Linked DNA regions of Lytechinus pictus. The protein of the gene in region 1 binds, or shares a complex with, the protein of each later gene. Links are inferred from orthologs where the notes say so. Each region holds a gene or a part of one and is shown on either strand. Other genes may lie near its edges.

Region 1 (16,877 bases):
ATGGAGTAATATCAGATGGTAATATCAGGAAAATGCTGGGAATATTAGTTACTCATGAATATTCATTACTACAATAAATGGCCAAAATTTTAGCTAATATAGCTGTAATAATTAATGTGTTTATGTTTATGCAATTATTCCACCCAGAAAATTTTCAGAAAAATGTGTAGTTTATAAATATATTTTATTAGTCATAATCATGACATTAATTTTAGAAAAATGTTTTAGGGTTGAATAATTGTTAACCATAATTTGTCAAGTGTTGTAAACTCGCTCAATATATATAAGTAAATGACAGGGTTTGGTGGATAGGTGTAGGATAGGATTAGGATTAGGATGTAGGATTTTAGGATAGGATAAGATGATATGGCTTAGAGTATGGAGTTGTAAAAATGTGCTTCAATGACCCTAATGACACTAATTGTTTTTTTAATGAGCCGACATTAATTGGGTAATATTGGGTAAACAGAGTAATATGAGGTGGTGATATCATTAAAATAACTGGAAATATCGGTTACATCATACTGGGTAATATTGGGTAAATTGAGTAATATCGGGTCCGGGTAATAACGGGGAAAGATTGGTCTACTATTTCCCCGTTACTACCCACTGGTGTTACCGTGGTAATAACTACGTTATTACCTGTTACAACCCGGGTAATATCGGGTAAAATGCCCAGTGGGTAGTTGTTTTCAATTCTTTGGTTATTCTCCCTTTGGTGTATATTATACCTTGGCTTTCTCATTCACCATTTTCCATTAATACGCTGCATTTTTTGTTGTTGTTAAATTGTACTTTTGTTATGCTTTCTGCTGTCTTTTCAAAACCTATTATTGTACATTACTATTAATTTGTGATTACATGTTTTTATCAAATAGTTAAAATTGATTTGGAAATAAAGTTTACCTTTGCCTAAAACTTAATACTGACAATGGCATTGATATTATCAAAAGATTGAAATGGCAGGTGTTTTTTTTAAAGACGTAATTATTTCCTTGCTTGTATTATGTTTAATTGTATCCATGGATATGTTCCGGTACGTTTATTTAATTCAAGATGGTGCAATGAAAACAAGATATGCCAATTCACTAAATGTTGTAGCACCCAAAACAAGCATTGATGTTTAAGAATAGCCTACGACAATCACATGTGCATGCAAGAGGAAGCATATGGAACCAGGGGCGTCGCTAGGCCTTTTCCAGGGGGGGTGGGTGCAGGCCCTGATTACCGACAAATATCGGTAGCGATTACTGACGTCCGGCAACCATGAATCTTGGAAGTGTTCTACATTCTTCTAAGTCACATTATATTTCCCGTCGCGGCCGCCAAAATCTGATTTTTTTTTTTTTTTTTTTAGGGGTCAGTCATTACTAAATTTTCATTTTTAGAAGCAACATATAAGGTATCGCATGTGGCCTGAATACAAATTACCACACGAGCGCGAAGTGCGAGCTCATTTTTTTAAATTTAATATATTTAGCCCTGAAAATTTAACATTGTGAGCAGCTTTTGTAATCATCATGGGGGTATCTAACTTAACGATCCATGCGAGCGGCGAGCTGAAAATTTTGATATACTGGCCAGCAAAAAGACCTGTTAATGTCTATTCGCAGTGATACATGAAATAATACATTTGATCTCCCCAATCCCAAAAGGTTTATATTCCGACCTGAGAACTCGAATGTAATCATGAAGAGGGTGGATATATTAACCAAACTATTGAAGCGAGTGCGAAGCGCGAGCTGAAATTTTGATATCCGACCAGAATACTGGACATTGTTAGCACTTAATTTTTGCATGAATATTATGCATATATAGCAATTCATGTGAGTGAGAGCTAATAATTTTTATTAACCTTTCTGAAAAAGTACATGTTCATGTTTGCAGTGACTCATGAATATAATACATTCCTCACTAATCAAATAGACCGAGTGTGAGCCGATTTGTTTTTTAGATATTGGACCTGAAAACTGGACTGGTTAAACATATTTTCAATAAAGAATACAGTAAAGAAGCGCAAAGCGCGAGCTGAAGTTTTCTTCAGATTTAGAACTAAAAATAAAACATTCGAAGCAATGTAACCATGAAGAATGTCGGCATAGAACTAAGCAACTGTCGTGAGCGTGAAATAATTTTTTTTTACAACCTGACAAACTTACATTTTCAACACTTTTTGCAATCATGAACACGATGGTTATCTAATCAAACTTCTTTTCGAAATCAGACATTCTATGCAGTTTCTGTAATAATGGGAGCGCGAAGCGCGAGCTGAAAATTTTGGGATATTTTTACTTGAAAACAAAATAAACATGTTTTTACATTAAACCAAACTCAGTTTTTTCATCTGTAATTGAACAAGCTGTGTATCTCAATTAACATTAATGCGAGCGCAAAGCGCGAACTGAAAATTTTGGACAGTTTGACTTAAAAACCAAACATTTTTACATGTTTCTACATTAAAACAAACTCAGTTTCTGCATCTGTAATTGAACAAGCTGTGTGGCTCAATAAATATAATATCAGCGCAGTTGAAAATTTTGGAATATTTTGACTTGAAAACCAAACATTTTTACATGTTTCTACATTAAAACAAACTCAGTTTCTGTATCTGTAATTGAACAAGCTGTGTATCTCGACAAACATTAATGCCAGCGCGAAGCGCGAGTTGAATATTTTGGTTATTTTTTACTTGAAAACTAAACTATACATGTTTTTACATTGAAACAAATTCAGTTTCTGCATCTGTAATTAAACAAACTCATATAATGCCAGCGCAGTTGAAAATTTTGGGATATTTTTACTTGAAAACTTAACATTTTTACATGTTTTTACATTGAAGCAAACTCAGTTTAGCTGTGTATCTCAATAAACATGATGCGAGCGCGAAGCATGAGCTGTAATTTTGATTTACTGACCCGAAAGGGAACATTTTAAGCACTGTCAAACATGAATGAAGGAAAATGGTTCAATGTCGGTACAGAAGGACGAGCTGACAACACTCGATACTTTGACTTGAAAACGTTTTTGTACAAAGAACAAACTTATTAGATTCCGCATATGTAATTGAACAAGTTCTGTATCTTAATAAACATAATGCGATTACAAAGCGCGAGCTAAAATTTTTGGTATAGTACTGAGTACTGATCCGAAAGGGAAAGTTTAAGCACTGTCTAACATCAAAATGAAGGAAAATTGTGCAGAGAATATTGATCTCACTAAATATATGATGCGAGCGCGAAGCGCGAGCTGAAAATTTCGTTGAGATTTAGACTTTAAACAGGGACGTTCTTTTCACTGTCGGTACAGAAGCGCGAGCTGAGAACTTTTGATGTTTTGACTTAAAAACTTGATATTTTCACAAGCTTTTTTATATAAAGAACAAATTACTCAGATATGCAATTTAACAATCTGTGTATCTCAATGCGAGCGGAAGTTTAGGCAACAATTTTACTAATTATGATGCGATTTTTTATTGAGATTTAGACTTTAAACCGGGACATTCTTATCACTGTCGGTACAGAAGTGCGAGCTGAGAACTTTTGATGTTTTGACTTGAAAGCTTAACATTTTCTTACTTTTTTTTAAATAAAAATAACAAACTCAGATATATGCATATGAAATTCAACAATCTGTGTATCTCAATGTGAGCGCGAAGTGCGAGCGGAAATTGTTGATATTCCTGAGTGAAATTTAGGCAACATTTTCACGAAATATATGATGTGATTTTTTGTTGTTGAGATTTAGACTTTAAACCGAGACATTCTTATCACTGTCGGTACAGAAGCGCGAGCTGAGAACTTTTGATGTTTTGACTTGAAAACTTAAGATTTTCACACTTTTTCATACAAAGAACAAACTCAGATTTGCATATCAAATATAACAATCTGTGTATGTTAATGCGAGCGCGAAATTTTTGATATTCTTAGGGAAATTTAAGCAACATTTTCAGCAAAATTTTACTAAATATATGATGCGAAGCGCGAGCTGAATTTTTTTTAGATTTAGACCTTTCATTTCATTTTTTCATTTAGGTTTTATTTCCACAAATCCGTTATGTTACAAAACTTTGATAACTTAACTGACATAACTAAGCTGAGCAACCATTACACACGTAGACTATAAGTATAGATAGCAAGCATTCTTAATCACTACATATTAATTCATGTTTAAGTACATAAAAAACGGAAAAGTGGAGGAAACCTTAGAAGCAGAATGCTTGTAGATAAGGTTCCCTTTTTTATACATTACTTTTGATATTACTACTTAGTAATAATACACGTGACAACATTTTATCAATTAAATTACACCCACAAAAACAACACAACACAGAAACGTGACAAAAAACAAAGAAAGAAAGAAACGAAGAAATAAAAAAACAAAATAAATAAAGTAAGCAGCTGCCATCCAACAGAATTTAAGAAACATCTGGATAATAAGCTCTGTGGACAAAAATGCAATAGAGCATGCCAATAAATAGCAATTTCAGTTTGTTTTATTATATCGAAGAAGAAGCTTTGCTTTCAAGTGATGTTTGAAAATATTATAACATACCTTAAATCGTAATTTCTAATGATTGTCGGTAAGAAAGTTGTCAAATCGCGTGTACCGCTATTTTACGGACAAATTTTACAAGCCTGGGTGAGAATCAGGTCAAGCACTCCCCTAAACTAAAAAGGAAATATATGCAACGGAAAGTAACAAGCTGAAACAAATTCTTTGGTATAACGAAAATATTACATACAACAAAAACACTCTATTTTTTAGAGGATGGTATGAAAGTGGTCTAACCTATAAAGGATGTAATTTGTGATGGAAATTTTCTCTCCACAGAAAACATTGCTTTAAGGCTTAAAACTAGAAAAGAAAAATGTAATGTAATGTATGATTACTCTAAATTAAGGAAATCGATACCCAAAATCTGGAACACTTCGACTCCCTATACTCAGCCAAAACAATTAGCTCCACATTTACAAATACCACTTTTGATTATTGGAGATAAAGATAAATGTATCAGTGAATGTAGTAGCAAAATCTTATCTAAACTGCTTTGTCCCGATTACATGCACACCAATACGTGTTGTATTTACTGGGAAAATAAGAAAGGAACTCATTTTGATTGGGAAGTTACTTTTAAACGTAATCTAAATCAAGTTCAAGAGTGCAAGTTACGCGAATTTAATTTTAAACTTCGAAGATATCCACCACGCTTTCATTTCTTGTGATTTCAATAAATCATTTTTTTGAATATTTGAAAGAACTGACTAAAAGATTATTTCATAAAGATTTAGAAATCAATTATAAAATTATGTTTAAACATGAAGTAGACGAAAATTTGGTTTTACTTCTGACCATTGCACTTTGGTGCATTCACAAAGTCATTGTTTCAAGAAACATATCCGGAAAAGAAAAGAGAGGTAGTCTGAAATTTATATTCTTAAGAGAAATAGAAAGTATAGAGTAGAAATGAAAGCTCGGTACAGAAAAAGATATGTTTTTTTACCCAGAGAAATTACCGAATACGTATGAAACTCAGTAAATCTTTTGTTATCACTTTATGTCTTCAATATGTTATAACTCATGTAAGATTATTGGATGATTGCATAACTATTTTGTATCGATATAATTTTTCAAAATGTCATGTCATCTCATGTATATTCATTTTTATAATGTGTTATGTTGCGATGGTGTAAATAAATCCTCTAATTGGAGGCAAAAAAAAATGATTGTCGGTATATAGCCTACAGAGAGCTCTCCACGACAGCATTGCAAAAAGAAAATTTAAAAAATACGATAATAGTATGCAATTTGACATTATTTTACCGACAAAGATAATGGAACTCAAAGACCAAGTATAGAACAAGGTACATGGCGCAGCTAGAACAGCCCTGCGTGACCCGACAGTTTGTCATTTTCCCGACAAGCGTCAGTCCATCTGCCCTGCGCTTGCGTAACAGACAATTTATATTTTTTCCAATTAACATCTCAGACTCCGCATCTTTGATTACACCGACACACAGGTTTACCTAATCAAAACCTTGCATGTCTACCCCATTTCTTCTCTCTTTGAGTTTTCTCCTTCCTTTTGTTTTCCTCTTCCTCGTTGTCCCTTTCTTTCTTTCTTTTCCTTTCTTTTTTTTTCTCTTCCTCTTCTTTCCCTCCCCCATTTTTCCCGACGGCAGCGCTGATTTAGATATCCAAATAAGTTGGGAGGGGGGGGGGGGGTTTGTCGCACCCCTCCCCCTTTTTAGCGACAGCCCTGTATATGGAACAATTATTTACCTTCGGATCTACAAAATTCAAATTCTGTTGATAATTTAAAAATAATTTATAAGAAAATCACTTTCTCTTAATGTTCTTTCGGCTATCCATCCTATATTTCTATGCCAGATTGTATTTTCAATCCGAATTTATCACCCATGCACAAGTATTTTCATGCCTTTTGGTTTACTCACTCTTTTTTCTTTAATCAAGGTATTTTATGCATTTTCTGTACGTTGATTTTTATGTCAACAAGACCGTGTTGAAAAACAGTGTATATTATCTGAACATGTAATCCTTCTTTTGTATATTTGATCATTATTTTTTATCTACCAACACATTCAGGGATGTCGATCCCTGTTTCGGATGGGGGGGGGGGGGGCAGAGTGAAAAAAAAATGTAAAAAGAAGCTGTATGCTGTTTAATGAGTATGCTGGGTTTAATGGATTTATAGTGCTTTCCAATGCTTTTTGAAGCGTACATTCGCATTGCATATAGTAAATTGACCAATTCATCAAAATTAAATTGGAGTAGGTTCAATTGGCAATTGTTGTCATGGAGGAGACCCCTGCCCTCTCACGATCAACGCCTCTGAACATGTCTATGCGGCCAACAAATTTGACTTCGTGAAACCATGCACAATAAATATAGGAATTACGAATAAACGTATATGGCGAGAAAGTAAAGAAATTGGCATTTCAATAACACAATGCAATCTTTGTTAAAGTTGATATATATGTATATATTTGTATATGTGTGTAGGTAATGTTTATGTAATTTTATAAGCTACACATGCGTGCACTGAGTGAATGTTACGGACGTATTACTTGTCATGCTTCAATGAGCACCGCCTGAAGGCAAAATTGTCACTTTTAAAAAATCACAAGCCAAATATCATATCATTCCATTTTGTTTGAACGAATTCCATATTCTCATCATGACATATCGTCAGAAGACTTTTAAAAGCTATTTTCTAAAATACGATTCAACTATTTAAAAAAAATTCAAGATTGAATAAACATAAGTTAAAATTTGCTATAAATTGATTTTTTTTAAAACATATTTCTGTCGATGAAAATGATCAAATGTGATGACATTCATTTTGAGGAAGAGTATCTTCAACAATGTTCATCCTTTCACGGTTCAATAAACATTTAATGAAAACAAAAATAAGATTTTCAAATACATAGGCAAGTATTGTTTCATTTTGGGAACTGAAATTATCTTATCAACTTTTTTCGTTATGTTTATGACCAATTAACATGCTACACTGATTCGAAGGCGTTTGATTAAACATTCACGCTTGAATGAACATGTGGAATGTGATTAGCTCTTTTTTTACGTTATTGGAAAAAAATTGCTATCTGTCACAAACCTCCTTGCATACTTCATTTGATTTGATTTTTATGAAAATCCCGATGTCTAATGCTTCAGTGAGCACGCAATATTAGAAAATTATGTAAATAAGAACAAAGTTCAAGGCCTTGGCCCCACTATGTGCCGTATCGAATGATTATTTTGGTGTTGGCGCCTTCTGGATATATAGTTTCCCTCTGAAACCATGTGCTGTAATAAGTTTATGGAAAAACTGTTCAATTAGTGGCAGAAGTAACAAAAACCGTCCATGAAACAAACCCTCATTTTACTTTTGTTAAAATTTTGATTTCCTCTCCCATAGACATTTTGTACGCGTGCGTGTATTTGACTTTTGTCAGACGTGAATCAATGATCAGATATGATTATTTACGTCTGGGACCGATAGACGTGACCGGGACTCGAACCTCTGCATCAATTTGTAACTTTGTAAGTTGGGGGAGGGATTTAAGCCACTACCATTTTCCTATTTTAACATATTTTTTTAGTTATAGAGGATACTACCATAAACCCCTATGATGATACGTCACAAAAAATTTTACTCACTCAACCATGAACATACGTTATCAAAATTTGTGTGGAGTGGCTAAATGATGGTTAATAAAACAGCATTAGCACCATAAATTTCACCAAAAAACACTTGTTAGCCCAACTACACAATCTGAAAAACGACTCTTGTGACTTTTAAAAAATTGTCATTTTTAATTAAATCTTTGATTACTCATGCATGACTCAACCGATCAATCTAATTTTTTCCAGGAGTTGCTGGAATATATACATGTGCATTTATTTGATATTTTATCAAACTTATAGGGTCATGCAGTATTTCCATTTACTTAATCATAAAATCATAGTGTAAGATAAAAGAGTAAAGTTGATTAAACGCCTTGCTCAAGAGCTTTGGTGCCGTGGCCTGGGACTTTTATGTGTCAGTCATCAGCAAGGCGCCATTCTGCCAGCGCCAGCGCCATGGCACGATGGCAAAGTCGAATAATTCTTTTTTCATTTGACATTTTAGAAACGCTGTATCTTTGCAATTGGGAACAGATACTTCATTCAGAATATTTCAAAAATGAAGTCCAGATTTACAACTATTGACCTTCGGGCAATACTTTACGAACTTGGATCTAAGTAAGTGTCCTTAAACTCTTGGTATTTGTAAAAATATAATTTTGAAAACGTGTGCATTTTGTAATAATTTAAAGTTTGTGCTGTGCGTGTCGTGACTTCGTGTGGTGTGTGAATGTGGCGCTACACGTACCGGTACCGGTACGGTACCGTAGCGGCTAGCGGGACTCTACGGTCCGAACGAGAATACCGTACCACCCAGGCCCAAGCCGGGCCGCTGCGGCGCACCTGGCGGCGACCGTCTTCGTTTTGCACTTGCTTGCCTTCTTCCAATTAGGGAGTTCGGTGACTTTTTGAAATCTTGAACTTTTGAATCCCAACAAATTTGATATCATTGGAAAGCTTTTGGAATAAGAAAATTATGGTGCTTCAATCAACTCATTGTCTGATATAATTAAATATTGACACTCTTTGACAGAGATATTCCAGAATCGAATTTACAACAAGGGAAAATCTGCAGATTTTGTTCTGTAAAAAAATATTTAGGCCAAGAGAATGAAAGCTTTAGATTTGCGTCCACCGCCCGCATGCTCTAAAACTGCCCGCATGAAAATTTCATTATTAAAAAAAAAAATCATTACTTACTAGGGTGTCTGGAGAAAAATATTATTTTTCTTATTTCAAGAAAACATCACATTTTCTTTGTGAATTTGAAGAGAAATGACCTTCAGACTGACAGAAATGTAACATTTTTGAAAAAAATCCGATTATTGGCTGCAAAAAAGAAGAATGAAATTAGGTCAATTTTCAGCATTTCTCTGCCATAGACTGTGTAGTTAAGAAATGGACACACACAAATCCAAATTTTTAGCTTCCGAGAGCTGTTATAAATTTATTATTAATGCCAAAAACTTGTCCATAAAGAGTCCAATAGGATTTTTTATGCTCTTTCTGATGGTATGATTTTTATAAAGATTTGGAAACCAGATCACAATGAAAAATTGTGACAAAGTGACAAAAATTGTGCAAAACAGAAATTTCATTTTCTCATAGAAAACGCATGGGGAAATGGCAATCTCAACACACACAAAAATAAGGGTTTGCAATTTATCTCTAAATCCTTATTTAAAATGATCATATAAACTTGTCCTTACTGTCAAAAGAAGCCCCTGAATTTTCTCTTTCCATACATGCCAAACACAAGTTAATAATCAATTCAGATCACATTTTTCTAGTAGCCTGAACTTCCCGAAAAAAATGTGCCACATTTTCCCCTAAATCAGCCTCTCTTATGCTGACACTTTTCAGTGTGGCTTCAGACACCCTATACTTACTCTCCATCACGAAATTACAAGTTCCAAATCATCGCAGGGCAGTAAAAGGTTATATTTACGCACTTACTACGTGCATACGGTATACCACTGCAGCCCACCTTCATCTATAGACTGTACAACGGATAGACCATCTCGGCTCAGCGAATCGGAGATCGCTGATTGGCCAATTGCGCAGATCACGTCATGACTACGTGGTCGCCAAAATAATTCCTTCGGACTGCGTGCGAAAGTATCGATAGCGATAACGATATCCGGTCACCTTGTCTACACGGGAAATGGTCTTGGTTCGTGATCGGATCGCTCCAGTATCGATCAAAAATTATCGAGACTCTGCAATTTCATGCATATTCACGTGACGCTCCGAAACCCGGAAATCAATTGACTTTGTACACGTTGCGATAGACTCTACAAACTCCAACGAACACGATGCCATATCGACGCTAATCCGCAAGATTTTGACCGAAAAGCAAGAAGTAATCGAAATTCACTTACCTGTACGGTATCGGTGAGAAAATAGATCCTCCAAGAATACCTTTCATAATTCATATAAAATATAGGAAAGTGAAATTCTAGGTCGATTTTGGTACGAGGTGATAGAGAATAGCACACTTGTATTCACTCATTCAATGAACAAGGTTATGATATAACCTTGTTGTCAGTTACATCTCCATACATGTGTGGCAAAATAATTTAAATAAGGGTGGCAATTTTGGCTTATTTTTTCTTTTTCTATGGGACAAATGCTTGATTTTTTTACACTGTCAGTTTCCAATACAGCTATTCATCATATAACTTGGCTCTTATGTAAATTTGATTCTTTAAGTTATTTTTTCTTAATTAAAAATAGAGATTGAAAAATGAATTTTTTTTTGCCATATTACTTTCCACCAATAAAGGGCGTACACACTTGTTCACTGCAACCATCCTGCCTGTGGGGAATCTACAGGTAGGACTATGGCATGCAAATGCTGTACAGAGCACACACTTTAAAAAATCATTAAAGGGGAATCTAACCCAAATAAAAACTTGTTTTTATGTGAAAAAGAAAAATGAGACAAGTTGATAGGTGAAAGTTTGAACAATATTGGACAAACAACAAGAAAGTTATGAATTTTTAAAAGTTGTAAATATTGGTAATCACTATACCCATGGAGACTTCAGATTGGCCGCATATGGGATGTCATAGTGATGTAAGGCAAGGACTACTCTTCCATGTACTCCAATACATATTATGGCTAAAATGTCATTTTTCTCAAAAGTTTTATTTCAAATTATATTTTTCTTTCATGAGGACATAAAACAATATACTACCTGGATTATGTTAAGATTACTGCCCCAGGGGAATGGGTACTTAGGAGAAAACCACAAATCCCTGATAATTAAGTACATGGCCTATGGGAAAGTTGTCCTTGCCCCTTGTCATAATTTACTTACCCAGTTGCCAATTTGAAATCTACATACTATTAGTGATCTCAATTTTAAAGCAGCCATAACTTTCTTATTGCTTGTCCGATTTCTTTCAAACTTTCGCCATTCTGTTTAATTTATTTTTCTCCTTCCCAACACAACCATTTATAGCCAAGGCTGGATTCCCCTTTAAAATATCACTTTTGTGACCAAAATTACTAATTTCCATACAGTTGCAATTTATTTTCCATTAGTAACTTGGGAATAATTTTTGTATTCACTAGAGAGAAAATAGATCCTCCAAGAATACCTTTCATAATTCATATAAAATATAGGAAAGTGAAATTCTAGGTCGCTCGCATTGATTCGCCAGGATATCGAAAATTCTAATCGGAAAGCATTGATAAAAGCACACCTCATTGAACGTAGAGGGCAGCAACACACGGCTGCCATTTTTTCATCTACCGTAAGTACCGTACTAGTGCGCTCACTGCGCTGAGCTTTGTGAATGTGAATTTGATGTGAATGGTACATTACGTGCACGTTATAACCCACGCACGAAGGGAAGACAGCAGAAGTATGGCCGAGCTAGTTACTGTACACAAGATCACGGGAGCGATTTTATTTTCCCCGATCGCTCTCTCTATTGGGTTTGCAAGTGCGATTTCAAAATTTACAAGAGCGAAATCGCTATGCGCTCCCGTGTATTTTTTCGCTGGCCTGTTTGTTTTATTTTTTAATGGCCTTTGATCGACTCACAAACATTGAAACAAAGAAAATTGTAAGTTATACTACCATATTGTTTTCCATTAAGTGTCTTAAAAACTACATGTATGATTTAGTTCTGAAATAAAGGCAAGTAGAAATGCCTCAGTAGGGAATTTTTGTGATGTTGGACAGCAAGATCTAGTTTTGAGGCCAGTGTTGCATTGCTACCTTTGAAACTACAATTGTTTGTGAAAATGGATTGAAAACTGGTCTCTTTACTGGTGTTTGCTTGCGCAGTGGTATGTATGCACATTTATGAGTGGGCAAGAAGCATTCACTGCTGCTCTGACTTGCTGGAAGCAGAAAAAGGTGAACTTTTTTTTATACTGCTCAGCTTCTATGGGCTTTAAAGTGTGTGAGCCAATTTCACCACATAAAAAGGAAATGCTCTTTGGAACAGAGTGAAGTGGCCAGAGCAACAACAAGAAAAGATAAAAATTATGCTATAGAACAATGTTTCATATTTTGCTCAGGAAGAGAAAATTGCTATGCATTGGAACAGAAAATTGAGTGTAAAATTGTGGGTCTTCTCAGAGGGACATATCCACCACATATTATTGAGATCATCATACATAGGCCTCCTAGTCATATCTGATTGATATCTGTTTCTAAAATCGCAATCACACACACACATCATATGGGTAGATATACTCTTCTTCCTTTTTTGTCTCGCCCACCAGAGGTGTAGACGAGACTTAGAGATCCAAATGTCATCCGTCCGTAACAAACCTTATGACACAACTCTGCAACCGTAAGTCACTATTCAACCAAACTTGGATGGTAGATGGACTTGGGGGACCTGCATGTTATGCTGCAGTCGGTTGTAACATCATCAATCAGAGTCAAGAAAGAGATGAATATTCTTCATTTTCCTGATAGTTTTCAACTAAATCAAAATAATTTCAAGGAATTATGGAAAGTAGATGGCCATTTCATGGATTTAAAGATGTATTATGTATAATGTGAAATTTTAGTAATCATTTAAAGCAGGGGTGCTATATTTTGTAAACGTAATGGCTCAGGCCTAGTTTCACCACAGATTACATGATAGCTACACAGCTATTGCATTTACAATTTTAAGAAAAATCTACAATTAAGCATATGTATTGAATTAAATTGATTTGAGCTCCTCAAGGAGAGCGATTCTGAAAAGCTCAATTGAACTTGAAAAAATAAGGAGAGCGATTTATTGAGCTCCACAAAATTATAAACGTGAAGGACTGGACACCTAACTCCGCAACCGTAAGTCACTTTTCAACCAAACTCAGGTGGTAGATGGACTCGGGGGACCTGCATGTAATGCTGCAGTTGGAGGTCACATGGTAAGGTCAAAGGTCATTTTCAGGTCAACGATAAAAGTTTACATGCAAGACTCTCTTATGACACCTAAATCCGCAAGTGCAAGTCACTTTTCACCCAAACTAGGAGTGTCGATGTAGTTAGGAGACCTGCATGTTATGCTGCAGTCGCAGGTCATATAGTAAGGTCAATGGTCATTTTCAGGTCAACGTTAAAGTTTTCCTTCCAGACTCTCTTATGACACATAACTGTGCAACCATAAATCACTTTTTAAACAAACTTGGATGGTAGATGTATGTAGGGGATCTGCATGTTATTGTGTTGGGAGGTCACATGGTATGGTCAAAGTTCATTTTGAGGTCAACATTAAAGTTTATGTGCAAGACTCTTATGACAAGTGTTATTCCATCCCAGTCATTTCACAATGAAGTTTCGATACAATCCTGTTGCGTGCCCTAGCAAATCACGATATTTCTGGTTATTTTCATAAGTGGGCGAGACACAAAATCGCTTATGCCTTGTTTCTTACTTAGTTAACCTTCTCTCCATTCACATGTGTGGGACACTGCCCTGCTGACGACACTAACAGCACAAAGGTGATGCCCCCTTCCCCTCCCTCCCCGAGGTTTAAGAAGATTTAAATTTTTTCCCTTTTCTATTTTATCATGCAGATTGCTTGGACTTCGTGTTCTTAATGTCTATGATGTAAATAACAAGACATACCTGATTCGACTTGGAGGGTAAGTGTATAAATGAGTTAAATTTACAAATAAGTTAATATAATGCCCAGCTTGCATTTCTGATCAGTGTATCCTCTGGTAGAAATTATAATAAATCAGAGAAGGGATTTCCAAATTGTGATGAATCTATGCTATTGGCTATATAGCAGGATGTACAACAAGCCGTATGTACTGCTGGCAAATGTTTGCGGATAAATCCCAAAGTTCTCATCTCAAACTTGTCTTCACTAGTTTGTTATTTTGTCAATTTCTTTTCCAGGACGGACCAGAAAGTGGTCCTTCTATTTGAGTCTGGAACTCGGATGCACACCACTTCGTTTGATTGGCCCAAGAGCCAGATGCCATCAAACTTTTCCATGAAGTTGAGAAAGCACTTGAAATCTAGACGTTTAGTAGAGATCAAGCAGCTAGGTGTTGACAGGGTTGTTGACTTGCAGTTTGGATCTGATGAAGCTGCTTATCATGTTATTGTTGAACTTTATGACAGGGTAAGCTTAAAATTAAGGGGCAAGTCAACCCTGGTATGCTTTTTGTCTTGCCTGAACAAAGTTCGGCAGAGACTTAGTGATTAATTTTGCCTGTTAGTCTTTTGCAAAAATGTTATAATTTTTGTTCAACTTACTCTCATTTCTTTATTTCTGCATCAAGTTCATACTTGGTACATATGATCCTTGGGTAATACCACATGTGTGTCCATGAGGATGATAGGGTCAAATTTTCAAATTATGTGAGGTCATGTACATCTTTGTTTGAAGTTTTATTCAATTTACAGTACTGTATTATGTAGTATTCTTGATAATGGAAAAGCTTGGTACAACAGATTTAGTGGGAAATATATATTTCTAATAGAAAAGTGTTATAGTGTCAACATCTATTATTTTTTAATATTTGAATATTCATCCATCGATCCTTTGTGAATTCAAAATGACTAGATAAACATTTATACTGGATGAGGGGCTAAAGGTATTTCATTTCTATGCACACAGGGAAATGTTGCATTGACAGATCATGAGTATACAATCTTGACCCTTCTAAGGACCCGAAAGGATAGTGATGATGTTAGGTTTGCAGTCAGAGAAAGATATCCTGTAGACACAGCTAGACAGCCAGATCCTATTCCTCCATTAGAGAGGTAAGATATTCCCATACATTAACAAGATTTTTAGATACTTTGATTGTATTACATGGGTGCTCCAATGTGTAGAAATGGTGGTCAATTGGTAACATGCTTAGATTATTTGCCCCTATTCACAAAGATGGTTTTGTATCAATGGACCAAAACCATGCTTAAGCAGATTTCCTGCATTTATCTCACTTAATCAGTGCTTGGCCTATATTGAGAAATAGTCCAATGCTCTTCTATAACAGTGAGCTGGATGCTATGTTCTGACTTTATGTCAATTTACAGTGGACTCTTTAATGCTAAAAACAAAGCAACAAGCATAAATTTAAACTCTTTCTCAAAATTTGTGCATGCGAATGTTAATATAGTTAGTGTAGAGAATGAGATATTTAGAATAAATCAGCTATAAAGTGCAGAGATGTCTGTCTCTTGGTCAAGAATCCTTATTTTTAAGCCTGAGTCGAATCGATTTTAAAATCGGTGTTCGATCGATGTCATCGAACGCCGATGCAGATTTTGCAAAATCGGTGCATCGAAAAAAAAAAAAAATACGTTGGCCGGCCGATTCATTTGGTTCACACAATCAAACATCAAAATAAACAATAATATCCGTCTCGACTACTACTTACTTCATTTATATTGCCCCCAAAATGAAACGGATTGTGTAATTATGATGCCTATTCACCATTAATTTGAAGTTTATTTCGATCATAGTTCGAGTCTTACTCGTCTGCACGGCTCGTCTGCTCGTGCCGAGATAATTTATGCACGATGAATTTATGAATGGAAGTCGCCATTGATCGTGCATGCGCAGTACTGTGCTTTAATCAAATCAGAAAATGGCCGGAAAATGGATGCGATCAACGTATAAAAGTAAATCTTGCTTTCATGAACAATATTAATATCATGACCATAGAACATGATTTAATCGTAATATTTAACAATAATTTGCATATGATAATCATTAATATGAATTTAGAGCTTGATGTGAAACGTTTGTATTTCGTTTCAATTTTCAATGGCGGACATCACGTGACGATCGACTTGAGTGAGTGGAATCGCACTTGTCTAAAAAAATAATTACACGTCAGGATTGATTATCGAACATTGTCAACATGTAGAAACTCTTTTGATGATCGTAATATCACCATATAATAATATTTTACATGACACAACAGAGAAAAATTACATTTGATATTTTTTCCCATCAATTTGAAGCTTGTTTGTGCCCAACTTTGGGCTCTGATTTCATGAATGGAAAATATGTCAGACGTCATCGAACGCGCATGCGCATTGTGCTTCTTTTCTCGGAGCTCGGAGACGTCCAGAGATGGAATAAAAAATAAAAATAATGCCAGTATAATACTATTAATTCTTCCATATGAACATAACATACTTTGCTGACATCGTCAATATTTTTAGTATGGCCATAAAATCTTATTAAATCGTAATTATTTTACATCCAATAATAATTTATATGAAGTTAGAGCTCGATCCGAGACATTC
Region 2 (17,681 bases), on another chromosome or scaffold:
ATTGAACAGGTCTACTCTTCAACACTATAATACTTTCAGAGCCCTTTCCTCTAGCTACTGAAGACAAAAATGTATTTCGTGAATCAATTGCAGACAACATGCGCATGCTGATTCTTATTTGGCGGCTTGGCTGAAATGGCGGGAGCGATCGAACTATCCCATGAGTATGCTAAGCACATGCACGATGGGGCGAACTGAGATTGCCTTGGTTGAAATAACGGCTCAAATTCACTCACACTTGTTACTGCAAAACAAGTATGGGCAAAGATTGAAATGCTACACAGAGATGGAGTAAAAGATAAGGTTAACCTTTAGGTATTTTGACAGCGTCTTATGCAGAACCAGAGAAAGAGAAAGAAAGGAAATTTTATGTGAAAACATAAATTCCAGGATTGTGAAGTGTGTTCTTACATGCACAGATGCATGTATAGCAAAGGCCTAATGAATTATTTTGACATTTATATTACGGCCCAGGATGGTCATGATGGTAGTGATGATGATGATGATGTGATGATGATGATGATGATGATGACGACGATGATGATGATGTGATGATGATGATGATGATGACGACGACGATGACGATGATAATAATGGTGATGAGATGATGATGATGACGATTGTGACGATGATGATGATGGTGATGATAATGATAAAGGGGATGATGATGATGATGATGACGATGATGATGACGACGATGATGATGATGGGGATGGTGATGAAGGGGATGATGATGATGATGATGATGAAGGGGATGATGATGATAATGATGATGGTGGTGGTGGTGGCGAAGACGAAGGCGATTATCGTACTAATGCTGTTGATTATGATTGATGTTCATTTATACTTAATTGAACCATGGTATATAGGTGATAATGAAAATGATATTTGTGGAAGTGACGATGATGATAATATTATTACAGTGAAAACTCGTTTATAAAGCAAAACATATCAATATGATAATGATGATAATGATGATAACGACGACGATGATGTGAGGATGGTGATGATGGTGATAATAATGATTATGATCGTATATACTGATGGGATGAAGTGTAATAACAACTTAGAAAGACCACATAGAATAGAATAAAGGATGCACAATCACGTAACAGGAGTTTGCCAACATAGGGAATGAAGAGGACAACAACAAAATCATAGCGATCTTTTTTTAGCAACGTGATTTATAGCGATGTTTTATTTAAAGGAACGCTGTCAGAGCAGTATAGAGAGGTGTTTTTTTAGTTTTTGAAGGGGAGAGTATAGGGCGTGAGAGATAGTGCATTTGGATGGGTTTGAGAGCGAGATAGAGAGAGTAAGAGAGGGGGTGGATATGTAGAGCAAGTCGTATAGGCCTATATTGACATTGAAGTGGTCCAGGTTGATTTTGTAAGGGGGAATCACAGGAAGGGGCAAGGTGACTTCATGGGACTTCATTTTCTGCAATGGAAATTATATACACTCTCAAAACAAATCAGTCAAAAATGACTAGTTAATAGGGTCAGCTGGGCGCAACTGTTATTCTAGTAATATTTGACTATTTTCTAGTCATGATTTACTAGAACAGAGTTATTTCTAATATAATTATGTCAGAAATGTGATTATCAGTGATTGTCATATCAGTTGCACCCAGCTGACTACTGGTCTAGTCAATTTGACTGATTTGTTTTAAGAGTGTAGACAGAGGCCTATACTATATAGGCCTAATTACAATAACTCAGTATTCTTATTGATATTGTTTTTATACGCTCACATGTACAATCTTAACCTCTTTCCTACTAGAAGCGGGTAGTCCCTGTATAAAACATATGGGACTTTACATAATTCAGCAGTCAACAGGTTTAAAAGGATTGGTCAACGTAACCAATCTGTTGCTGAATATGACTTGCATGTGTCCGACCGAAAAAAAATTGTCAATATCAACCAAAATTTCGGTAAATTTTCACCAACGAACTAATAGATTCTGACCATTTTTGTCGATCGAACAAAAAAAAAATCATCAAAACATTGGATATTTTGACCAATCCTTTTTCAAGAGTGCATCTTCTTTCTTTTATTGTTTCCATCCTTCCATTCTTTTATTCGAAATGAGAGAGGTGGGGGTAAAAACTCATCCTATAACATTAATTTCTTCCCCATCTTCCCTTTCTCTTTTGTTTTTTGTTCGCCCTTCAAAGCTCCCTCTCGGGAGCTTACCCCCTACATCCCAGCCCGGGCCGAGATTCGTTACATTTCGTAAGCTCAGATGTCTAGCGGCAATCAGGGGCGGATCCAGCTTTTTATAAAGGGGGGGGTTGGGGTGGTATGCGAGGGAGCGTAGCGACCGAGTCCAAGCGAGCGGAGCGAGCGAGGGGGGAGGGTGTGGGAGGGGGGTGTCCCCCCTCCCACAGTAGGGAAAATTTTTGAAAATCTGTGTGTGAAAATGGCGTTTTCTTGCATCTAAAACACCACTCTTTTTGGTATAGAGGTCGTTGCCAAATTAACCCCCATGAAAATTTGTAAAATTAAGTTGCATTTTCCTGCAATGTAAGGCCAGTTAACAACACAGATACAAAGAATTGGGGACCTTGGAATAAGCACTGTTAGCCTAATACTTTTATTATGAACAAAATCCCCACCCAAACGACACTTAAAATATCCCCAAAGTTGCCAAATTTTGACAGAAAATCCCCAAATTCGTTTTTCATAAAACTCAATATTATTTTCATTCCCAAATATTTATTTTTCATCCCCAAAGACTTCAACAATCCCCCAATTTTTTTAAATTTTTTTTTAATGTCACTTCGGCGGTGGCCCGTGTCCTCAAAAAAAGCTGATGGGGGGGGGGGGACTCTGTGACATTTGTTCGCCCAACCCCCCTCCCCCAAAAAGAAATAATAATAATAATAATAATAATAATAATAATAAATGAAATAAATACATACAGTGCGTCCCAAAAAAAACTATACACTTTTGAAATGGCTGCCAAATAAAAAGTATATCACTTTGGGGGGAAAGACTTATATATATGGAAAGCTTATAAAGTCATCTTTCAAATGACACCAAAATGTTGGAAAACTATTCATGCTTGAGTGAGCACTACCCGCTTAAACAAAGGGTATGAAAATTAGGGTGGGCAGGAATTAGCCTTTCGGTTTCTTTCAGTTTTTGAGAGGCGAGTCCCTTGGAACTTGCAAACTTGAGGGTGTTCTGATGAATTGATGGTCATTCATTATCTTTTTAAATTGTTAGAGCAAATTTCATGAATTATCAAATTGAAATTCCATGCATGAGTGAGCATGAATTGCAATCTTTAGTGAAGCATTTTAACTTTACAATGTGGGTCTCAGCAGTGTGTTCATTGAAGTCAGGAGAATAGGGGTAAGAAATGACTTCAGTGGGTGAAGTAAGCTGATGGGAAAAGGGTCAACAGAACGTTTAGCCTCCCTCCTACAGGTCCGTCCCTCCCCCCTCCTGTTGAGATTGAGACTGATTGCTATTACATGTACGCATTAAGTGCAAAGCGGACTGTCAATTTGATAATAAATTCTAAAAATTAGATCATCAACTTTTATCTATCATTCATTCAATCAACAATCTGTTAGTAAATAAACTCAATCAATGTGATCAATCAAATATTCACCTTTTTCAATAAATTATTAATCAAACATTCAGCTTTTTCAATAAATCATTTTATAAATCATCATAATTAGCCAAGTTCTTAATAAATCATTCAATGGAAAAAAAAGACCCATCAACCATCAGTCACTTGGCATTTTAAGTTTTAAATACCAACCAAGAGAAAGAAAGGGGTGGAGGGCGGGGGTGAGTACATGACACGTAATTTGTAAGAGAACACAAAGAAGAATGCCCCTTTAACCCAGTCTTACCCTATCTCATCCCCTTGCATGTAACAGGTACCATCACATTACTCTGACTCTCACAAGCACACTTGCTAAGATCCACATAACAAACGAAAAATGCTACACTAAAATTACAATTCCTGTTTACTCATGCATTACATTTCAATTTAGTAACTCGTGAAATTTGCTTAAGAAACCAAAACTGATCTCCATTTATCAGTAATTTAGCATAACACCCTTAACTTTGCAAGTTCCAAAGGACTCACCTCTAAAAAAATGGAATTAAGGCTAATTCCTGCTCACCCTAGCAAAGGCTAGTCTCTCAGGAGGGGTGAAAGGGGTAGAGAGAGAGAGAGGGGGGGTTAAGTGTTCTGTTGACCCATATCCCGTCAACCTACTTCCCCCACCTAAGTCCTATCCCTATTCTGACTTCCATGAACACATTGCTGAGATCCACTTAAAAAGTGAAAAATTGTATTTCATGTTCACTCATACATTAAATTTCAATTTAATAATTCTTAAAATTTGCTCTAAAAACCTAAATTGATAATGCTTGATCATTGATTTATCAAAACTTTGCAAGTTCCAAGGGACTCGCATCTCAAAAACTGAAAGAAATTGGAAGGCTAATTCCTGCCCACCCTAATTTTCATACCCTTTGTTTCAGTGGGCAGTGCTCGCTCAAGCATGAAAAGTTTTCCAACTTTTTGGTGTCATTTTAAAGTTGACTTTATAGGCTTCCATGTATGTAAGTGTTTCCCCCCAAAGTGATATATTTTTTATTTGGCAGCCATTTCAAAAGTGTATAGTTTTTTTTGGGACGCACTGTAGAAATAGAATAAAATAAAATTACAAGTTTAAAAAAAAAGATAAGATTTAAAAAAATGGTCCCCGGATTTTTTTTTTTTTTTTTGGGGGGGGGTTGCAACCCCCCCAACCCTCCCTCTAGATCCGCTTCTGGCAATTCTTAGCCTAGATTGGGTAAAATCGTGAATCTTAAATCAGATTGTGACACCGACCTGCTGAGAGCTGACTCAATATGCAGGGGCGCTATTTAGAAAGTAATCGTGTATGAAGATTACACGTAATATACCTTCATTGTCGTTTTTGCTTGTCAAGGTTTTGACATTGTATTGGACACTGTATTTGTTAAAAATGGAAATAAACGAAATGAAATTAAAAAAATATTGTCTGAGACTATATATTTTTATCTAACATTGATATAAACAACTTACAGTTTACCTCTTAAAATCCAATCATGACATCAATTTACAACATAATATATAAAAGGGGCGCTATTTCTAAAGTTATCGTGTACAAAGATTGCACATTACATACTGTCGGAAAGAATTGTTTTGTTGTTGTGCTCAGTGGCAACACCAGGATTTTTTAACATGGGGGGCAAATAAAGGAACATTTTTCGGGGGGGGGGGCACTGAGGCGGACACGATTTTTTTTTTTGCCAGTTTCAAAAAATCGAGAGCGAAGTTTATATAGTTTATATTCTAGTTTAGCATAGGCTAACATCAACTTTTTTCTCACTCGCTTATGTATTATGTAGATCGTGTTAAGTCGGCCTATATTCTAGGCCCCCGCTCACAAGCCTTGCTTCTAAAGGGGTCGATCCTATTCGCCTATGCTATAATCTAATTGATACGTGTTTATGTATTCATATGCATTGTATTTATATTTATTTTGATAATAATGTGTTTTTTTAAATAAATAAACTTGAACTTGAATCATATGGTTGTCAAACTGTTACTATATATGTAAGTGAGAGTGCTCCGGGAAGTTGTTTTCTTTTGTTGATCTGTTCCACACTATGGTTTCACCCAATGGCGTAAATCCGTGTTGATGGGTGGGGGGGGATGACTGAAATATTTTGGCATTTTTTTGTGAACATGTTTTTAGATATGCAAGAAATTGTCATTGATATGTCCACAGTGGGTCACGGCATTGGGGGGGGGGGCACCAGCAAAATTTTTGAATCACTGAGTGAGTGCGCTAGTGAGGGCGCGAAGCGCGCTCAGTTGCCAGTTATACTGACCTAATATAGACATTTTAAGGACAATGTCATTAAACGGATATGTATCTCACTGATCAAATAATGCGAGCACGAAGCGCGAGCTGAATTTTTTTTATATTCACACCTAAAAAGGGACATTATAATCAAATTTGTGTAATCATGATAGGAACCTGTCTCGCTAAACAATGCGAACGCGAAGCGCGAGCTGAAAACTTAGATAATTCAGACCTGAAGTGGGGCATTCTAAGGTTTCTTTGTAGGAATTAACTAGGACCATACGTATTTCATTAACCAAACGATGCGAGCGCGAAGCGCGAGCTGAAAAAAATTTTTATATTCAGATCAGAAGAAGGGACATTTTAAGGACTGATTTTAGGAATTTATGAAGAGCAGACATATATCTCACCAATCCACTAATGCGAACGTAATCACGGACAGGAAATGTTTCATATAAGACCTTAACATGGGGCAATCACTTTTTGAGTCATGAAAAAGAAGCATATGTCACTACATAAAACAATGATAACTCAAGTGCTAGGAAATATATTTGGTTTATATTGACTTGAAAACGGGATGTTTTAGTACAACAGGATTATATATTTCGTTAAACAGACAATGCGAGCACCAGGAACAATGAAGACGTAGGCGCTGGGCAAATTATGTTTCATAAAGTTATGATAAAAATGTTTCTTATGTAATGTAACATAACATAATTATAATATGATATAACATTATAATGAATAATATTTTCTTCTTTCCCAATACGTTTCTCTCCCTCTTTTCTCCTTTCCCCCTTTTTTTTTGGACAGCCGATGGGGGGATGTGCCCCCCATGCCCCCCGTAGTTACGCCACTGTATGTCCATATGGCAAATACCCCTCCAATATTATTATCTTTTTTACCCCATGATGGTTTAATGGTTTTATTAGAGATTACATTCAAAATTTTTTGACATTCCATCTTAATCCCTTCCCGAAGACCCCAACATTGATGAATTGGAAGAAACGGGGGTTTCTCTTCAATGTTATAATAAGGACATAAGTATTTCGTTTGGAAATGGTGAACTGGCTCTTTATTTGCATTTTATGATTCAATAATATTATTTTATTTGTTAAGCGGTATTATAGGAAGAATTTTCACCAATAAAACAATTATCTCTTGTGATTTTTTTTCATTTCTTTCGTAAAAAGTGGGGGGGGGGGATGTTTGTACAGGCCAGGCCATCCCCCCCTCCTCGAAAAGTGGGGGGGGGGGTGGATATATCCCCCCCCCCCCCATCCCCCCGGGATTTACGCCAGTGGTTTCACCAAATTCAGAACAGAAGCATCTACTCTACCATTTGGTTGTGTGAACTTTCTTTAAACATATTACCATACCTTTTAAAAGTTGTCTCGCATGCATTTCATGTACCGGTATTACCAAACATAAAGCTAGAACTGGAACTAAGTTGAGCATTATTTGCCCCGGGGCAAGCCCATGAGGCCGAGGGTCCGCGAGGCCGATTTTTAAAGTGTATTTTCTTTCACTAGGATTTTTTTTTTCAATCAGTGGAAAAGTTTCAGCTTAGCATATTCTCTATTGAAAACTTAAATATAATCTTATAATGTAAAGGTTTGGTAAATCGGGACAACATGATTTATGCTCGAGTATATCTCACCCATCATTAATGTAGCTGGTGAGTCTCTTTTCAGCCGTTTATTCATTGTAAAAATCTGAAACTTGAGTTTTAAACATTTTGTTATATTGTTATTATTTCTCACTTGTGTTTCTTTTCTTGGAATGTAGATTTTAATTATTTCATTTGAAAACAGCAAGATTTGGAAATTGATAAAGTCAAATATACCATATTGTCCAGAACGATCAGAAACTTATTATAAAAATGACATTTGAACTGTCAAATTCTGGACTTAGATTATAATCTAAAGATTAGAATTTAGATTATTTGAGACAATGCCGAATGTTTCAATCTGGATTTGTCATTAAACTAATGAAATTTTCATTTAAAAAGTCTTCATCATATATAGCATGCCTTGAACTTGCGGTCTTGAAATAACTTTCGCTATTGCCTATTAATTATTTGCGACTCAGTTGATTAATATCGATGAAGACAAACATCCTGATTAAAGAAAATATAGCTCAGTCGGTAGAGCGGGGGTTTCGGATTCCGGTGACCCGGGTTCGATTCCAAATTGTGCGCTATAACCTATAGTGCCCTTTGCCTTTGGTAAGGCATTTATCCTCATTACCAGGTTACTCGGAGAGGACCTTAAGCCGTTGGTCCCCTCACTCCCCTGGGTACTTGCTCACAGGCCTTCGTGCTTTCTTAGCAGTCAGGTATAACCTCGGTATGATAAGAAAAGTCGGCCCGCAGACCCTCGGCCTCATGGACCCTCGCGCGGCCTCGGCCTCGTGGACGCTCGTCCTCGTGAAACGGTCGGCCTCGTCGTGAGAAGACCATTATCGTCACATTGAGACTGCCTGTTTAGATGGTCAAAAGGCAGAATTATTAAGTACTTTTCTTGGATACCAGTACATTGAGAACGACCAGTTGTGTGCAAAGTAGGTGATGATTAATATTTTGAAAGGTTTTGTTCGATTATTCCAACGATTTGATGTGTTTAGTTCGTTGTTTCTTTACTTCGGTCCCACATGGCTCGGATTGTGTAGTGTACTATAGTGTAGTTAGTAACATTGACATTGTTAAACGCGTGTGGAGGTATAGACTATAGACTATAGTCACGTATTGTAATTGTATGACCGGACACTATTATGATTCTGGACGCGCATATTACTGCGTACGAAAACAATTTCATTTTCAAACTGCATGACTTTCGCAGTTAAATTTCACAGAGCAATCCAATAGGCAATACATAGTCATAGAACAAGAATAAAAAACAAGGCAAAAAAAAACTACATTATTTATCTTTTAAATTACAGAAAATGCTTAAAATATCATATAACATAGTTTTGCATTAACAATCAAATTATGTTCTGATGGAAATATGGGCCTGATTTGATGATTTGCCGAATTTCAATCTCGTCCGCTCCTTCGATCGAATGTTGAGCCTGGTGTATTGTGGGTGCATCGACGGCTAGTTCTCAATTAAAGGAGAATGAAACTCTTGGAGCAAGTTAGCTTTTGTGAAAGCAGAAAAATCAAAGAATAAGATCAACAAAACTTTGAGTAAAATAGGACTAGCAATAAAAGAGTTATGAGCATTTGAATGTCGAGATCACTAATGCTATGGAGATCCTCCTATTGGCAATGCGACCAAGATCTGTGATGTCACACACGTACAACTCTCCCATTTGGACACTGAAAATATACCCCAAAACATCTTTTTGCTCATTCTAATCATATGACAAACGATTCATCAATGATATAATGTTGTGAAACCTCTGTACTTGTCATCTCATAAAGAGAACACCTCACCTTGTGATAGACTCTATAAAAGTGAGAATATACGTGAAATAAGTACTAAAGTAATGAGGGAGTTGTACGTGTGTGATATCACAGATCTTGGTCGCATTGCCGATGGGAGGATCTACATGGCACTAGTGATCTCAATATTCAAATGCTCATAACTTTCTTATCATTCATTCAATCTTCCTCAAACTTTCAACAATATGTTTCTTTGATTTTTCTCTTTGATATGGATTCAGCTGGTTTCAAGGGTTTCATTCTCCTTTAAGGTACCCGTGCGCGAGGTTTACCGTGATTAGAGCCGTCGACGATCGACAGCGCATCGATAGAACTTGATGAGCGTCATACGATATGAACGAGCATAATATTGGAAAGTGCCATGGAACATGCAGTAAAAAAGAAAAAAAAATAGCAAACACAAATTTATTACCAACATCTGCTCACATTCGATATAAAAAAGCAAACGAAAACTTAAAATTTACTCATGATAACATATATGAAGAAAATATCATATAAATTCTTTCTTACATCATTACAATCAAGAATATCTTTACCCGTCCGGCGCGCGTCCGGAATCATGATGTAATTTGCCGTGCACAAAAATAATTGTTTTTCGCGGAGGGGTATGAGGCAAGTGCGATGCAAAGGTAACGGTTGGTAAATGTAAAATAATTTTATCATATTCATAATTTTCATAATATTTGGAATAGCAAGTGCGAATTTTTCTTGATTGTATTTCCTCTAGTTGTAATTTTTAAAGCATTGAAATAAAGGTGTCCGGCAATAGGATACACTGCCATATATGTGTATGTATGCACCAAAAATTTGATTTGAGATTCTTCTTCTCTTGTAATTTTCAAAGGGATCTGCATCCTATCACAAAGTAAAATCAAACTTGAAATATTGCATGCACTGGATGAGGTGAGAGGAATAGTTTTGCATCTGTGGTCGTGTGAAAGTACTAGAAAAGCGAGAGATACATACTTATCAGTGCATGTCACTCATTCAATGAACAAGGTTATGAATCTGATATAACCTCATTCTCTGTTACTACTCCATGTGTGGCAAAATAATAAGGTTGGCAAGGTTTGGCATATTTTCTCTTTTTCTTTTGGACAAATGCTTGATTTTTTGACATTGTCAGTTTCCATTACAGCTTTTTATCATATAACTTGGCTCTTAAGTAATTTTGATTCTTTTAATTATTTTATCTCTAAATTAAAGACAGAGATTGAAAAACGATAATTTTCTTGCCATATTAATTTCCACCAATAGAGGACGTACACAAAAATATGCCCAACATTTTTTAGCGCTCTGGTGAATACAGAAATTATTCCCAAAATACTGATGAAAAACAAATTGCAAATGTATGGAAATTAATATTTTTGGTCACAAAAGTGATATCTTAATGATTTTTCAAAGTGTGTGTTGTGTATTGCATAGGCATACCCCATAGTCCTACCTGTAGATTCCCCACAGGCAGGATGGTTGCAGTGACCAAGTGGTGCATGTCAAATTGACATGAGACTACTTCTTCCGCATACATTCGTAATTCCGAAGCTTCGTTATTCCGAAGGTTCGTATATTCCGAAGGTTCGTTATTCCGAAGGTTCGTTTTTCCGAAGGTTCGTAATTCCGAAGGTTCGTTAATCCGAAAACGAAATGAGGTTCGTAATTCCGAAGGTTCGTTAGTCCGAAAACTAAATGATTAACGAGCCATATTTCGTTTTCGGACTAACGAACCTTCGGAACAACAAACCTTATTTTGTTTTCGGATTAACGAACCTTCGGAACAACGAACCTTATTTCGTTTTCGGATTAACGAACCTTTGGAACATCGAACCTTATTTCGTTTTTGGATTATCGAACCTTCGGAATAACGAACCTTCGGAATAACGCCACAAATGTTCGGATTAACGAACCCTTTTACATTTTCGGATTAACGAACATCGAGGTATATTAAATAGGCAATTTACGTGTTTCGGAATTATGAGCCTTCGGAATAAAGAACCTTCGGAATTACGAAGTGTAACCACTTCTTCAATCTTTGTCTGGGAGTTTGTTCCTATCAGGGAAGGATCTTTGGGCAAGAATAAACCTGAATTTCTCTAATATTCTACAAAAGTTTATGGATACTGTTCCTTATAATTCATATTCTGCATAATAATAATATTCCACATTTATATAGCGCTTAATACATCGGAACGACGTCTCTAAGCGCTTTACAGACATATCATTACCCCGGTCATCGGATCCTTGCATGCCCGCATACAATGTATGCACCTTCTCCACTCCCTGGGGAGCATTCCAACAAGAGTTCCAAGACTCAATTGCTAGGCATACTACATATACATGTAGGCTTTCACATCCTACCGGGTACCCATTTAACACCTGGGTGGAGAGTGGCAAAGTGTGGATTAACGCCTTGCCAAAGGACGTGAGGCCATGGTGGGATTCGAACACACGACCCTCTGATTACAAGGCGAGAGTCAGAACCGCTACACCACGACGCTTCTATAATTATATTTTCTTTTTTAAAAACCTCTGACAAATGTAACAAATTCGAATGTTCTGCAGTGCTCCAAAAGAGACCCTACACATATCCAAAGTCTCATCTAATAAAGCAATTTATGACTATCACTGCTGCTTGTCTTTAAATTTTAGATTGAAAAACATAAATTATTATGGTACCTCACATTTGCACACTTCCAGGATTTTGATGATGGACTGGAGAGGGGGACATGTACTTCATTTTTTTCTCACAATTTTAACTCATAATTTTTAATTGAATAAATCTTGAAATATGTGTCTCCGTATTAATTTCAGAGGTACAAAAGTTTGTTTTCATTGCCTGTTTTCTTTTATTACAATCGCGCTGATTGCTTTTTACCATTTCAACCATTGCAGAATTCAGAAACCGGTCCACCCTGTACCCAGACACAAGAGGAAAATGAAACATGAAAAAAAATCAGGCCTGAATCAAAATGGGTGCACGAATGTATCTTTCACTTCTTTCTTTATCTTGGAAACTGAAACTGGTAATTAGCCAATGTACTTTCACAACTTTAAAGTAAACATACATGTATTTTCACAATTTCAGCATTTACAAGATGTCGTCACGTGCTATGAGAAAATTATGTAATGAACCTGACATTGTGCTCAAGGATGAAGTGGCCAATGATGAGGAAGAGGAGATAGAAGATGATGTGGAAGTTCAAGTAGCAGCAGATGATGTTGTAAGACCTAAGAAACCCAAGGGGAAGAAAAAGAAGAAAGTCGTAAATCCATTTGAGTTGGTAGGTATGAATATTTTCTTTGTCTTTATCTTTCTTACAAAGAATTAATTTGTTAAGGTGGATGATAAAAAAGAGGAAGAAATCATCCTATCTGAAACAGACAAATAAAACGTGGTATTATTAAGAGGTACATGTACCGTACTTTGTTTATGTTTACTGACTTAACCGTCAAAAAGGTGTTATTTATGTAAATTTTGAAAAATATTCTCAAATTTGCCACTCATTCAAGATATGATTGAGAGCTGTGAAAAAAAATCAAGTTGGAGTTCAATCACTGTAAAGAGGGCAGTTCTAAGGCTCAGTAAATTTCAAAACTATTTTCGTGCAATGGCAATATCAACATATTTGTAAAGTGACTGTGAGAATGATATCTTGGCTCTTGAATCACTGCATGTGAGACCTTTCTCAAATTAAAAGATTTGCTCCTTGATAACATAAATTCTGTATTTTGAAATAGTTGAATGATATAGAGGATGCCCAGTCAGATGGTGAAGAAGATGCTGAATTAGATGAGAATGAGAAAACTGATAAAACTACAGAAGGACTTCAAAATGGACTGGATGTTCAAACTACAACGGAAGTGAAACCCAAAAAGAAAAAGAAAAAGAAGAAGAAAAAGCAGAAGGGAGGAACCAGCAGTGGACAAGCAGATGATGTGAGTGTTGGAAATAATTGTTCCTTTGTTTGCACTGCAGTTCATGCTTTTCAAGTGTAATTGCTCATTTTCCTGTCATCGTTTTTTATTCTTACACTTTTGGTATTTTTTTTATAATGCAATATATTTATATATGTTCGTAAAATAAAAAGTTTAGGGTTTTTGTGTGTTGCTCTGAACAAATGTTAAAAAACCATCTTCAAATTTCATCTGTATTGATATGTCTATGACCCGATCATTGATCGTTATGTTAGGTCAAATCTGGTCATGTGGTTGATACAGGCGGCAGTGGATAGCCAAATTTTTTAAAGTTTTTTTTTCTTTTTGTCTTGAGATCAAAAGTTGAAATCCTGAATAAATGTTAAGCAGTATGAGATATTTTGAACAAAATTGTCGTGTAATTATCATTTTTCGTATGACTGTGACGCCATCTCTAAATTCTGTACAAAACTGCAACTTCTTATCTTTGGATGTACTTTATTATATTACAATGAAAGCAAGTAGTCCATATCTATATAGGAAATGGATTATCAAATGTATTACTTAGAGTAAACGGTCTTGTACATTTGTATTTGTTATGATTTCACAGGAAGATGAAATCGATGCGAGTATTCGAGAAGTCAATGAGATCTTGAAGACAAGTCCCCCTCTTTCCACCAATGCACCATCATCATCATCAATGGAGCAAGGTTCCAGGCTGACAAATTCCAAACCATTATTAGCTATTGAACATAAACATCTCAACCCAGAGAATGAGTTGAGAAGAATATTTGGAGCCAGTGTCATTAGAAACGAACAAAGGTAAATCAACATACATGTATATATTTTTGGTTCCACTTTAAGAATTTTGGAAGGTGTTTTACAAAAGTTATGTGTGACTTAAAGTCATGCACGAGTCTTTTTTATTTGAAGCCCTACATAATTCAAACCCTTTCAATAGCCTCTTGTTTGATATTCACAACAATTTTAAGAGATCCTATGGCATGATACATGTATTTATTTTAAGCAACACATTCTAAAGATTTTTTAATTGATATGTTATATTTTTGTTATATCTCTTGTATATTTTTCAATAAATCATATATCTATACAAAAAAATCAAGCACGAGTGACTATGATTGCCAGATTTTTTTTTTTCATCATTTGCAATGTTATATATGAAAGTACCACAGTTCTATTTCATGAATGGCACTATTCAATCATAGATATTTGGATATAAAACCTTCATATTTCTGGTTTTATTTCTACATATCTTAACATCATTGTCTGCCACAAGCCCACAAACAATTTCATATTTTTTTCCATCTAAGCTTTCACAAAGTGTCTAACTCCCATTAAAAACAATGCATTTTCATGATTATGCATATGTCAAAGTGAGATCTCTTGTAAGCTACGATGATTCATTTGATTGTCAAAATGATATTTCTTTGTTTTATGCAGGCAGAGAGGGAGAAACCGGCAGTACCAGAAATCAACCTGGCTAGTAACAGCTAAGCAATCATGGCCTAAAATGACAAAAACAGGTAAATTAAAGTATCATAGAACATAATGTCTTCTGAATTTATTGTGATATCCAAATGGAAAATTTGATGTTTTGCACTTAATGTTTCAACATTTGAATTTTTACTCTTGCCCATGACAATATTTCTTTTGAAAATATTTATGTTCTTACCTTAGGATAGAAATTAGTTCATTTTTCTTTTTCATTTTGTTTTGACAGGTTTATCAATGATACACATCACTACAGAGGGAAGGTAAGCATTTGTTGAAGTTGTGATTTAATTCTCTCTTTTTTGTCACAATAATTATATTTTAGGGTTGATGATTATGAACGTTTATTAGCTTGTATCGGTTTATTTTGTAACGAGTTGAACCACTAATAGATGTTTGCTTATTCAAATGTTTAAATGTTGGTTGACTTTTGTGGTTGATGTTTAAAGACACTATGCCTCAGCCCCTTTGAGCAGCACCAACTCAAGACCTTCAATTGCTCACATAGTTCTTGGATCTTAACACAGAATGCAATATTTTGATCATGTAGTCTTTAAATGCAAACCCACAAGAACAAAAAAAGTTTACATTTCTCTTTACATCATGGTGTTTATAGTGTACTACAAAACATTCCTGTTCTTCAAAGAAAATCAAATAATTATTGTATATTTTCCCCAAAAATTAATAGTATATTTCTGTTTTTTAAACAAACAGTTATTGCATCAAAATTGTCCTAATATATGTAATGCACATTAGCCTATTGCCAGAGATTCACTGTTGCTTGAGTGCTTGGACTTCAGAACTCCTTTAAATTCAAAGTCTGTGTAATTTTTATAGTTGTTGATGTATTCAAATTACATGATCCTTATTTTTCCATGTATAAACTTTTTTTTGTAAATACAGATATCACATATTTGAATATGAACATTCTAAGGATTATCAGAATGTCCAGTTTGATTTCTTGGATGCAGTAGAAACCATGAATCCAGCTAATATTATGGTGAGATCTAGAAACGGAACATTTTATGGATTGATTGGTCAGACATTTTCACTCATTTTGGCTCTTGGTCTTTCAAATGTCTCTTATCTGTAGAATGGGGCCTTGGGGTCACAATTTCATAGGCTCTTTACCTTCCACAATAACTGTTAGATTCAGTAGACTGATTAGAATTAATCGTGGTTCATAAAGTCCTATGGGAGACAAAATCTGATTAGATCATAAAGTTTTTTTATATTTAGAAGTAAACTGTCTATTGTATTTTAGATTTTGCAATGGAGGAGACATAAATTTGGACTACCGGTATGTGCAGTCAAGTATCCGTCAAACTATTATTGCAAGTGGAATGTTTATTTGAAACTTAAATATAAAACACTGTTTGTAGTCACTAGTAAAATAATGGATTCTTCAGTGACATATTTTGTACCTCAATGTTTATAATTTCAAGTAGAGTCTCTCAACACATGGCATATCTATCAATAACATTTTGCCCGGCAATCAATTAAATTTAAAAAGTTTGTACTATGTGAAATGCATGTTGACGTCACCTTTGATGAGTTAGAAAACTTTAGGAAATTATATTTTTGGTTTCTAATTACAGGCCATAATGAATGCACACCCATATCATATAGACAGCTTGCTTCAGCTCAGTGAGGTCTCTAGGATGAATGAAGATATGGGAATGGCAATAGATCTTATAGGTATGCGAAAAAATCTAGCATTTTTAAACCTCAGAATCCCTCATAGATTCTTACCCAGCAAATTTAATGTTTTGAATGTAAAATTAGTTAATATTTTTTTACTTCTTTATCTGGGGAATCTTTTCTTTCATTTTATTTCAAGAAGTTTAAAGTTTCAAGTCTCAAGAACAACATATATAGCAAGATGAACAAAGTAAAAAAGACATATATGATTGAATCTTGTTTGACACATTTCATGTATTTAATTTCCTATGAGAAAACAGTAAGGTGTTGAATTTGAAGTTATTCTTATTATTTTTATTTTATCATTTCAGATTGTATATAATATCAAATCAACCAGAAATAAATATCTTTAAAGATAAATGTAAAGTGCAATCAGTGTAAACCATTCATGAGTATTAATTGCAGAAAATTTATCATTGTTTCTGTTCCAATTTTACGAATGAATAAATGCCTGACTTTCTCAATAATTACATTTCTTTCATACAGAAAGAGCACTGTATGTGTACAAGAGTGCCTTAATTCAAATAGTGTTTAGTTTAGCTGAGGAAATGTGTTAGTTTACTCATGAATGATTTTCTCATGATTATATTTCTTTCATACAGAAAGAGCACTGTACGTGTACGAGAGTGCCTTCCACACATTGTTTAGTTTAGCCGAGGGAACGTGTCAGTTAAGCTATAGACATGCTGAAAATAGAGGTCTCTTCATTGCTTTATTCAGGCATCTTACCTGCCTAGGTCAGAAAGGTTGTAACAGAACAGCTCTGGAATTCTGCAAACTCTTATTAGGGTGAGTACTAACTGTATATGAACATGTTTTGGAATACTGATAGAGGTAAAAGGGTAATTTTTACACAGTAGACTTGTTAGCATGAAATAATTTATATTGTTGGTCAAAATCTTAATTGTTTTGTATCGAATACACTACACCAAAACCTTTAATATTATTATAAATTGTATATGTTGGTTGAAGATATTTATCTCTGAAAGGTGCTTTTTATAAAGAATTTCATTTCCTTCATAAAAAGCAAAAGAGATATAACATATTTTGATTAAAGACTAGCATTTCCTGTATATTTGCTCTGTATTGGTCATTTTTGTCATTGATCCAGATAATGGTATATATGCTGCTAGAGCAATGGTATAAATTCAGTGGGTGAGATACATGTAGGGCACGATGATATCTAGTCCTATCGTAGGTGGCTCTTTTCGATCTTTGACTTGAACACCGCTAGTGACGTGCTGTTC

What was found.
Region 2: ribosome quality control complex subunit NEMF-like (region 1) and ribosome quality control complex subunit TCF25-like share a complex: the UniProt entries of both Homo sapiens proteins name them as parts of the ribosome quality control complex. The link is inferred for Lytechinus pictus from reciprocal best matches to the Homo sapiens genes NEMF and TCF25.

The regions. Positions count from the first base shown.
Region 1 is NC_087251.1:8,225,922-8,242,798, forward strand, and holds the start of ribosome quality control complex subunit NEMF-like, read left to right. Parts: upstream 1-8,563; 5' UTR 8,564-8,704; coding exon 8,705-8,763; intron 8,764-14,179; coding exon 14,180-14,248; intron 14,249-14,507; coding exon 14,508-14,736; intron 14,737-15,234; coding exon 15,235-15,380; intron 15,381-16,877. UniProt on the Homo sapiens protein: Key component of the ribosome quality control complex (RQC), a ribosome-associated complex that mediates the extraction of incompletely synthesized nascent chains from stalled ribosomes as well as their ubiquitin-mediated proteasomal degradation.
Region 2 is NC_087246.1:54,853,688-54,871,368, reverse strand, and holds the start of ribosome quality control complex subunit TCF25-like, read left to right. Parts: upstream 1-7,946; 5' UTR 7,947-8,426; intron 8,427-12,391; 5' UTR 12,392-12,401; coding exon 12,402-12,587; intron 12,588-13,044; coding exon 13,045-13,242; intron 13,243-13,831; coding exon 13,832-14,043; intron 14,044-14,682; coding exon 14,683-14,765; intron 14,766-14,962; coding exon 14,963-14,996; intron 14,997-15,636; coding exon 15,637-15,733; intron 15,734-16,331; coding exon 16,332-16,431; intron 16,432-17,036; coding exon 17,037-17,223; intron 17,224-17,681. UniProt on the Homo sapiens protein: Component of the ribosome quality control complex (RQC), a ribosome-associated complex that mediates ubiquitination and extraction of incompletely synthesized nascent chains for proteasomal degradation.